Linked DNA regions of Caenorhabditis elegans. The protein of the gene in region 2 interacts with the protein of the main gene of each other region in a pairwise test. Each region holds a gene or a part of one and is shown on either strand. Other genes may lie near its edges.

What was found.
Region 1: the proteins of prde-1 (region 2) and Y53G8AM.8 interact in a two-hybrid assay, tested with the Caenorhabditis elegans proteins (one large-scale study listed by BioGRID).

Annotation. Positions count from the first base shown.
Region 1 is NC_003281.10:3,275,711-3,280,616, reverse strand, and holds the start of Y53G8AM.8 (HTH CENPB-type domain-containing protein), read left to right. Parts: upstream 1-1,906; 5' UTR 1,907-1,912; coding exon 1,913-2,035; intron 2,036-2,141; coding exon 2,142-2,315; intron 2,316-4,906.
Region 2 is NC_003283.11:15,536,352-15,541,243, reverse strand, and holds the start of prde-1 (piRNA biogenesis factor prde-1), read right to left. Parts: upstream 3,001-4,892; 5' UTR 2,987-3,000; coding exon 2,807-2,986; intron 2,737-2,806; coding exon 2,371-2,736; intron 1,378-2,370; coding exon 1,037-1,377; intron 1-1,036. Other genes in the region: F21A3.4 (Trichohyalin-like), read right to left, coding at 3,258-3,542, 3,595-3,747, 4,243-4,473, 4,528-4,578. UniProt on the Caenorhabditis elegans protein: Nuclear factor required for the production of piwi-interacting RNA (piRNA) precursors. Specifically required for piRNAs produced from loci associated with the Ruby motif. Promotes binding of the transcription factor snpc-4 at piRNA genomic clusters.

The DNA of each region.
Region 1 (4,906 bases), on a different chromosome or scaffold from region 2:
ACAGCTTTTTCCCGTTTTTTCTTAATAAAACTGATAAATAAATATTTTTTGCAGATGCTAAAACAATTTCCAAGTGAAAAAATTATGTATTCATAGGGCAAGCAGCGGTGAAAGTGGTCAATGCAATATGATGGGTTACGGGAATACAAAACCTAAACTATTTCTGAAACATGATACATATGCTGTTTAGATGCTAAAAGTACCTGATTATCATAACGAGACCGCTGAAAAAGTTTTGAGATTTCCAAAATTCAACTTTTTTGGTGAAAAAGTCGAGATTTTCGCACAAAAAGTTGAATTTTGAAAATCTCAAAACTTTTTCAGCGGTCTCGTTATGAAAATCAGGTAATTTCAGCATCTAAGCATCATATGTATCATGTTTCAGAAAAAGTTTGGGTTTTTTATTCCCGTAACCCATCATATTGCATTGACCACTTTCACCGCTGCTTGCCCACTGAATACATAATTTTTTTACTTGGAAATTGTTTTAGAATCTGCAAAAAGTATTTATTCATCAGTTTTAATAAGAAAACACGAGAAAAATCTGTGAAAAAAAAAGAAAACAGGCGGAAAACAAAGCAAGATAAATGGCCGCTGAAACTTGTCGGCCCCTCGGCCATGGCCTAGAAACCACTTTTCCTCGTCCCTCGTGAGGAAAAAGTTGCAGTGAATCAGTTGAGAACTCTGCCGCATTTTTTGTAGATCAACGTAGATCAGTCCAAAATGAGACACTCTTACACCACATATTCGCATGGTTAAGAACGTGCTGACGTCACTTTTTTTTGGGCAAAAAATTTCCGCATTTTTGTAGATCAAACCGTAATGGGACAGCCTGGCACCACGTGGAATCTCAAATTTTCTGAAAAATTTTTTTGGCGGGAATTAAAATATTTTGAGGACATCCGGTTACACAGCCAACGGGGTCAAAATCACTGTATATTACTCTATATCTCCTCTTTTCTCGTACTTTCTCAAATTCTTTCTCGAAAATTTCCCCCTATTTTCTCCTCGTGCATCATCAGAAAAATACAGAGAGCGACGATCCCCCCCCCCCCCCCCCATCAACGTTCCCAACAATTTATAAAATGTCTGTATCTCTGTATCTCTCAATCTCTCACTGTTTTTCTCTATGCCTCTCTAATATCTCTCTCCATGACAACCGTCTAACCATCTAAACTCTCTACTGTCTCTTACTGTCTGCGCCTCTCTCTTTCTCAGTGTTTCTTCTCTGTATCTCTCCGTCTCTCTAACGCACTTTCTCTATGTTTCTCTATTTTTCTCTATTTTTATGATTTTCTCCCCAATGAATTGTTGTTTTTTTAGGAGATTTTTGCAAAGAATTTCAGATATTACTGTATATTTTGGGATTTTTTTTCTAGAGAAATGCGAAAAATTGTGTGTTTAAATGTTTTTTGTACCCTAAATGTGTCCTAAATTCGGAAAAAAAATTCCAAAATTTACCGGTTTTTCGTGGAAAATGTGGATGGGAATTTGGGTTTTTGAAGGTTTTCTTTTTTTTTCGAAAAAGAAATCCAAAATTTTTATTTTTTTTTTGTGACTTTTTCACAAAAATTTGGAGGAAAGGGAGTTTTTTTTTTCAGAATTTTTTGAAATTCTAATAGAATTTTTGAAAACCGAAATTTTTTTGTTCAAAATTTGGGAAAATCTGTATAAAATTTTCTAATTTTTCAGAATTTTTAGCAGAAAAATGTTAAAAATTTCTAAATGTTTTTGAGGAAAAATTGATAAAAATTCGGATTTTCGAATATTTTTCTAAATTTCTAAAAAAAAATTTTCTTTAAATTTCGTTAAAAATCGATAAAAATTGCGATTTTTTTAAAATTTTGTTCTCTGCCAGTATATCATTTTTCCACATTAAACTCCCCCATAACTCCAATATTTCCAGAAAAAAATGTCTGAAAATTCGACGCCAAACCTTCGAAGATCCAACCGAACAATGGTACCAACAACTCCATTTACCATTGAAAATACACCTGTAGGTAGAGGAAATTCTGGTGCTAGAAGTCATAAGGAGGTAAAATTTGAAAATTTGACAAATTAATACATTTTTGAAATTATGAAAAAAAAAAAAAAATTTTCCAGATTTTCAAAATTTTTTTAAATTTCTTCCAAAATTTCAGCCAAGCGCAAAACGTAAAAAACCTACCAGTACCCCTACCGTAAGATGCGGTACCGTACCCCAAGAGCCATCCACTTCAGCAGCTACAGTAACCCAAAAACCAGCGGGATCCACCATGGCCACTGCAAACATCACGGAAACCAGGAGAATTGATATAAGCAGTTGTAGTGATCGGGTTAGTCAAAAAAAATCAATAAATTATCGATTTTTTGAAAAAAAAACATTGTAAAAATCGAAAAAAATTGTTTTTCAAGATTTCCAAAAACAAAATCTTAAAAATTCGGAAAACATTTTTTTAAACCTAACACGTGGTGTCATAGTGTCCCATTTCGGTTTGATCTACGTAGATCTACAAAAAAATGCGGGAGAAGAGACGCAGAGTTTTCAACTGATTTCGTATGGTTAAGAACGTGCTGACGTCACATATTTTTGGGGCAAAACATTCCCGCATTTTTTGTAGATCAATTCGTAATGGGACAGCCTGGCACCACGTGATCTAATAAATAAAAGTATTTGAAAAAACCTTCCAGACAGTTTTTTTTTTGAAAAAAAAATTTTTTCAGGAATTTTTTTCTAAAAAAAATCATTAAATTTCTTTAAAATTAAAAAAAAAAAAAAAAAACATTTTTTAACGTTCAAAATTCCGAGCTTTCCGAAATTATTTTTTTCAAATTTTTAAATAAATTTTAGTACAGTGCGTGCAACTTCTATAGCGCCCCCCTATTTTTTTGCGTTTCAGGCCATTCTAATTTTTTTCTTGAAAAACTGACAATGCCATTCGATTCCAAATGTCGAAAACCCCCTTTTCCAGAATTTTAATGAAAAAATCACGAAATCTGATGTAATTAGGTCAAAAAATCGTAAAAACAGCCGTGCAACTTCTATAGCGCCCCCTCAGAATTTTGAAAATTTTCCAACAAAACCCCATTTTTGGTCATTTCTAGAGACAACAAAATAATAAAACGGAGCCAATTTGATCCCGACATCCTACTGATTTACTGTCAGCAGAATATTATACGTAGAAACTCTTAGGATCCCGTAATTGTCCTGAAACTCTCCATTTTGCGTTAGAGGCCCGTTCTCGGCTCCCAGTGGTGGGATCGGCTCCAAAACTGACGAAAATGTTCTGATACACTCATGGACACATGTCTGAAAGATTTTTCACAAATTAACAGAGTTGTAGGTTGTGTGAAACTTGTATCAGATTGAACTATTCGCCCTTCAGTATCCAGAAGTGGACTGAAATCAATTAAAACAACAATATTTATTAACTGGATGAAGGATCAATACTTCGTGGGACCTCCCTTCTTGGCGATGACTTCGAAAACTCGATTGGACATTGAATTGACGAGATTCTTCATTTCGGCTGCGGAGATTTCTTTCCAAGCATCCTCAATACCAAGTTTTAGTGCAGCCACATTTGGATACTGTTTTCCATTAGCGTAGACAATTCTGACAAGCGATGCCCATAAGTTCTCGATTGGATTGAGATCCGGTGAACAAGCTGGCCACTTCAACAATTTGATCTTTTTGCTGTCGAGAAAAGCACGGGTTGAAGCGGCACTGTGAATACTCGCGTTGTCTTGTTGGAACATCCAGCCTTTCTTTGACGGATGTCGCATAAACTTGACAAGGTCTTGGTCCAAAACTTTCTGATAATCAACTGCATTCATCTTATGACTTGTAAATTGGATTGGCAGCTTTTTTTTCTCCGAAAACGCTGCCCACACCATTACCGATCCACCTCCAAAATTTCGCTTAGAAAAGATTAACGGATCCTTTCTCAGATCTCTCCAGTAGTATCGATTGCCATCTGGACCATCCAGGTTGAATTTCTTCTCGCCGGAGAAAACAATCTAAAAAACTCAACAGATTTTATCTAATTGTGAAATTGTTCAACATACCTTGGTCCATTCGGTTCCCATATTTTCTTTGGCAAAATCCAATCGCTTTATCATATGATTTGGAGTCATTGATGGAGCTTTCATCATTTTCTGGCGCGTGATCGATGGGTTTTTGTTGAGAGTATTGATAATGGTTCTTTTGGACGCTGTTAATTTCAGTTCCTTACGAATTTCGTTGGCTGATTTGAAAGAATTCGAAGCAATTTTATAGATGTTCCCTTCATCACGACTAGATAAAATTGTCTTCCGAGGAGCTCTCTTGGCTTGTCCATAACCAAGTGGATTGTTAAGGTAATTGTAAACACATTTGCGGGATCGGTTGATTTGACGAGCCATTTCATTTTTAGATACATTAAGACTTGCCATTACATCAAGCTTGGCTTGTTCTTCGACTGACAGCTGTGAACCTCGTGGCATTGCGAATAAAAGTAATGAACAGCATTTTTGGCATCCGATTGCCACTAATGGACACGTCACACGTTAAAAAAAAACAAATTTCAGCAATTGTTGAGTGTATCAGAACATTTTCGTCAGTTTTGGAGCCGATCCCACCACTGGGAGCCGAGAACGGGCCTCTAACGCAAAATGGAGAGTTTCAGGACTATTACGGGATCCTAAGAGTTTCTACGTATAATATTCTGCTGACAGTAAATCAGTAGGATGTCGGGATCAAATTGGCTCCGTTTTATTATTTTGTTGTCTCTAGAAATGACCAAAAATGGGGTTTTGTTGGAAAATTTTCAAAATTCTGAGGGGGCGCTATAGAAGTTGCACGGCTGTTTTTACGATTTTTTGACCTAATTACATCAGATTTCGTGATTTTTTCATTAAAATTCTGGAAAAGGGGTTTTCGACATTTGGA
Region 2 (4,892 bases):
AAATTGCTTAAAATCTAAATATTTCAGGTAATCATTTACTATATATAAAGCGCTTATTCCGTTTGTCCATAGTTTGTAGTCTATGTAGTCTTTGTATTCTGTGACGTTTTGGCTTCTGGAGGATAGTGAGTTGGGCTTAGTGTAGGGATATAGTCGGGGTACTGTAGTGGTACAATAGTGGTACGGTAGGAGTACTGTATGATTACGGTAGTTTCAGAAAAATTAGTTTTCAGCCCCAGAAGTCGGGGGCTGCGCCGAAGGTGCGGTCCACGGCTGGTTTACAATAAATTTTTATTTTTTTAAGTGAAAAATTGCTTTTAAAAAAAGTGATTTTTTATGTAAATTGCAAGAAAAATATTTTTTAGAAGAACAAATGCTGAAAATCTGGATTTTTGGGTGAATTTCTAAAAAAATTGATTTTTCGTGAAAAAAAAAAGGGTGAATTAGTTTTTTTCCATAAAAAAATGCTGAAAATTGAAACCTTTCGGGTTATTTTGAAGAAAATTGTATTCTTTTTTTGTGAAAAATCGCTGAAAATCGGGGTTTTTTGGGTGAATTTTCATAAAAATTAGATTTTTTTTCGATGAAAAATAGCTGAAAATCGGGGCTTTTCGGGATAATTTCAGGAAAATATTTTATTTTTTGAGTGAAAAAAATTAGAAGACGATTTTTTATAAAAATTGCAAGAAAAATGATTTTTAGTATTTAGGAAAAATGCTAAAATTCTGGATTTTTGGGATAATTATTTGTTTTGTGTTTAGGTGAAAATTGCTATCAATCGAGATTTTTTGTGTAAATTGCAAGAAATCTACTTTTTTCTACTTTTTTTGGTGAAAAATCACTGAAAATTTGAATTTTTTGAATAATTAGCAAGAAAATGATTTTTTAAATGAAAAATAGCTAAAAATCGTGATTTTTTAAAAATGTAATTAGCAAAAATCATTCTTAAAGGAAGAAAAATCACTGAAAATCCCGATTTTTTGGATGAATTTCCATGAAAATCTCATTTTTTTGCTAAATTTTCCAAAATCCATACGCGATATCGAACCAAACATCAACATCAATTTGCTGCTCGACTTTATTCGTTTCTTCCGGCTCTTTTTGCAAATTTTCAATGAACAATTCCTTCATTTCCATAATTCTTTCTCTGGATTTCGACGATTTCCACGGCAATTTTCCATGTGTCCAATCGTAGAGCACATAGAGCATCATTTCCATCATATCCAATTCAGTCATTCGATGAGATTGATCTCGATCGACAAAAGAGCGCGGCGCGTAGATCAAATCTCCGGTTTTCCAATGCAAATCTATAGATTCGGCTGTTCTGAGATGAATCTCGTCGATGGCACGGTGACGTTTGTCAGAGGAGACGGTGATCTGCAAATTTTTGGAATTTTAGTATGAGAAAAATCGATTTTTAACGAGAATCTGGGGTTTTAAATGCATAAATTGTTTATTTTAAGAGTCTGAAACCGAAATTTCTTCCAAGAAATCAAAAATTTGATTAATAAAAAAATAAAATCGAAAAAATAAACTCGAATTTCGACTGAAAATTGCGATTTTTAGTTTTTTTCAGTAGAAATTGTTTTTTTTTGACGAAGTATATGTTTTTAATAATTTTTCTAAAGAAACTCGCTGTTTTGCGGAGTTTTTGAAACCAACAATGTTGATTTTCAGACGATTCTGGGACTTTTATTCATTTTTCCCAAAAATTTCAAATTTTTATGGGGTTATTCAAGTAATGTAGCAAAATGTATTTAAATACATTTGTGACGTCACAAATGTATTTAAATACATGTTTTTATCTACTTGAATAAGGTTGTGACGTAATTTTTCTACACTTTTTAATTTTCCGACACTACTTGAATAACCCCATTAGGTAAAAATTGCTGGAAATTGAGATTTTTCGGGCAAATTTCAAGAAAAATAACTGAAAATTGGTTTTTTGTGGATTTACCGAGAAAATACGTTTTTTATGTGAAAACATTGCTAAAAATCACAGATTTTTGTATAATACGAAGAAAATACGCTTTTTCGGTGAAAATTGCTGAAAATTTAGATTTTTCGGGCGAATTTCAGGAAAATTACTGAAAATCGGGGTTTCTTGTTGTATAAATCCAAAAAATTAAGTTTTTTATGTGAAAACATTGCTAAAAATCGGCGATTTTTGTACAATTCCAAGAAAATACGCTTTTCAGGTGAAAAAATGCTGGAAATCGAGATTTTTTAGGTGAATTTTTAAGAAAATTGGTTTTTTCGTGTAATTCCGAAAAAATGCGTTTTCTAGGTGAAAAGTTGCTGAAAATCGCGATTTTTCTTGCAATTTTTTAGTGGAAATTGTTATTTTAAAAGCGGAAACATAGTCCGTACATCAGTAGCATCGGCCAAATAAAACTGCCTCGTTTTGATATCCAACATCCATTGTTTCGAGTCGAAATTTCTCAAAACCCATCCGGAAGCTGACAGAATTTCGATAGCAGAAATCATGTCGACAGCGAGGAAACTGGCAGTAGTTACGGACATTTTATCACTGCTCAGACATTTTAAAAGATCATGTAAAGTGGGTCCTGCACGGATTCTGACGACCATGAAGAAGACGTGATTATTTATGATTCCGGCATCAATTAAAGCGGAAAATCGATGAGAATAGCCAAGTGACGATTGCTGATGATAGAAATCTACTTGATTCGCGATGGTTGTCACGTTGTCCTCGCCGATTTCCAAGTAAAGAATCCCCTGAAAATTCGAATAATAATTTTTTTTTTACTTTTTTTTTTTTTAAATTTAATTTTTTTTAATAACTCACAAATTTCTTGCACGGCTTGTCACACACAAGATAACAATACGCGGCTCCTCGTTTCTCCTTTTTCTCCAAAATAATCCATTTACCATTAAAAAGCTTTTGCTCCTTCAGACCTGCCAAGTCCTCATCGGTGAATCGATGCTCAATGTTTTCTAAATCGTGTCCTTTGCGATTTCTGTTCATTTTTTACCTGAAAAGTTGATAAACTCACAAGAAAAATGGTGAAAAACAAGTAAATTTAGGCAGGAAAAACGAAAATTTAAATATTTAAATTTAAAATTCGCTGCCATCGAGAAAAGCGCAAGCAACACGAGAAACGCGCTAGCAGTGGTAGCTGACGCAACTTTCGTTATTGACGATTAATTTCAAAAACATGTTTTAAAACAATTAAAAATGATTTATTTTGAGGAAAAAACACACAAAAAAAATGCTTTTGAAGAAAAAAACATAAAAATTAAGAGCTTTCCTCGGTCAAACTGGAGAAAGAAGCCACCAAATTGGCGTTTTCATCTAAAATCTGCCGTTTCTTCCCAGTTTTCTTCAACAACATTTCAAGCTCTTCCAGCATCTTCTTCTGCTCCTGCTCCATTCGTTTCTCCTCTTCAACACGTTCGCCAAGCGATTTGCGTTGCTCTTTGAGCATTTCCACAACTTTTTCGATTTCAGCGCTTTTATCATTCCAATATTCGCATTTCTCCTCCTCTCTGTCACAATCCAGCTTCAAATCTTTGAGTTGTTGCTGAAAATGTTTCAATATTGCTTTAAACATTTTCAGATTTATTAATAAAAACCTTGTGCAAGTGGCGACGATAGTCGATTTCCTCCCGCATTCTCTGAACAATCACTCGCTTTTCCGCGAGTAAATCCAGACTTTCTTGAATTTCAGCAGAAAGTGTCGCGGATATTTCCATCGTTGTGCCCATCTTAGCCTTTTTCAGCTTCACCTGAACAAAAAATTGCATATAATATTAGTTTTCGCCATATCTTACGCGCATGGTCTCGTCACGCGGACAAAAGGTTACTTTTCATTGTGATAATTCACGGGTCGCTATTACAAAAACACTAAATGCTGAGAATGCGTATTATGCAACATATCTGACGGGCAAAGTATCTCGTAGCGAAAACTACAGTAATTCTTTAAATGACTACTGTAGCACGGATGTCGATTTACGGGCTTTTTTTTATTTTCGGAAACATTTCTCGGAAAATTCGGAAGTTTTTTTTGATTTTCAGAATCGGACCAGCGCTACAGTAGTCATTTAACGAATTACTGTAGTTTTCGCTACGGGATATTTTGCGCGTCAGATACGTTGCGCAATACCCATTCTCAAAATTTAGTGGTTCTTTTTATAGGTTAGTGCCCGTAAATCGACACGAGTTACAGTACCTCGTTCACAGCGTGGTGAGACCCACATAATTTTTTGACGACTATGTAATACCTCATTCATCATCTCCGACAAATGCTGAGCCCAGGCGGTGACGCGACACGAGATGTCCGATTCGCGACGTCTCGCCTTATCCACGCGATCCCAAAGTTCGGTGACCTGCGACTGAACGACATCGATCCGATTGCTCAGTTGCAGCTTCTTCTCCATTTCCAGCTCGAGCTTGTGCTCCAGAAGGCGACAACATTCGTCGACATCGTGCTCGTATTCGGCGACCGATTCGCTCTGAAAAAAAATCACTTGAACTTTTTCCGAATAGAAATTTCGCGCGGAACCCACCGTAATCGACGTTGTCAGGGTCAACTTCTCGCGAATCACTTTGATATCCATTTATCGATTGATTTTTCGGAGAAAAATATTCGGAAATAAATTCAAATGTCGAATAGGTTCCACATTTGCCACGAGAAATTTGAATTCTATGGAATATTTTAAAATCAAAATTTTGAATGTTCACGCTGGTAATTAATTGATTTAATAAAAGTATAAAACTTGATTTTCAAGCTCTCTGATCCGTGTACTCCCCGAGGAGAAGTTTTTTTTTGGAAAAATTCTGGCTCTGCTCCTATGAGTCATGCCTCTCATCCGAAAAAAATTCGACAAAATAAACCGACATTAGTACCACGTCATTGACTTCGTTCTTGAGT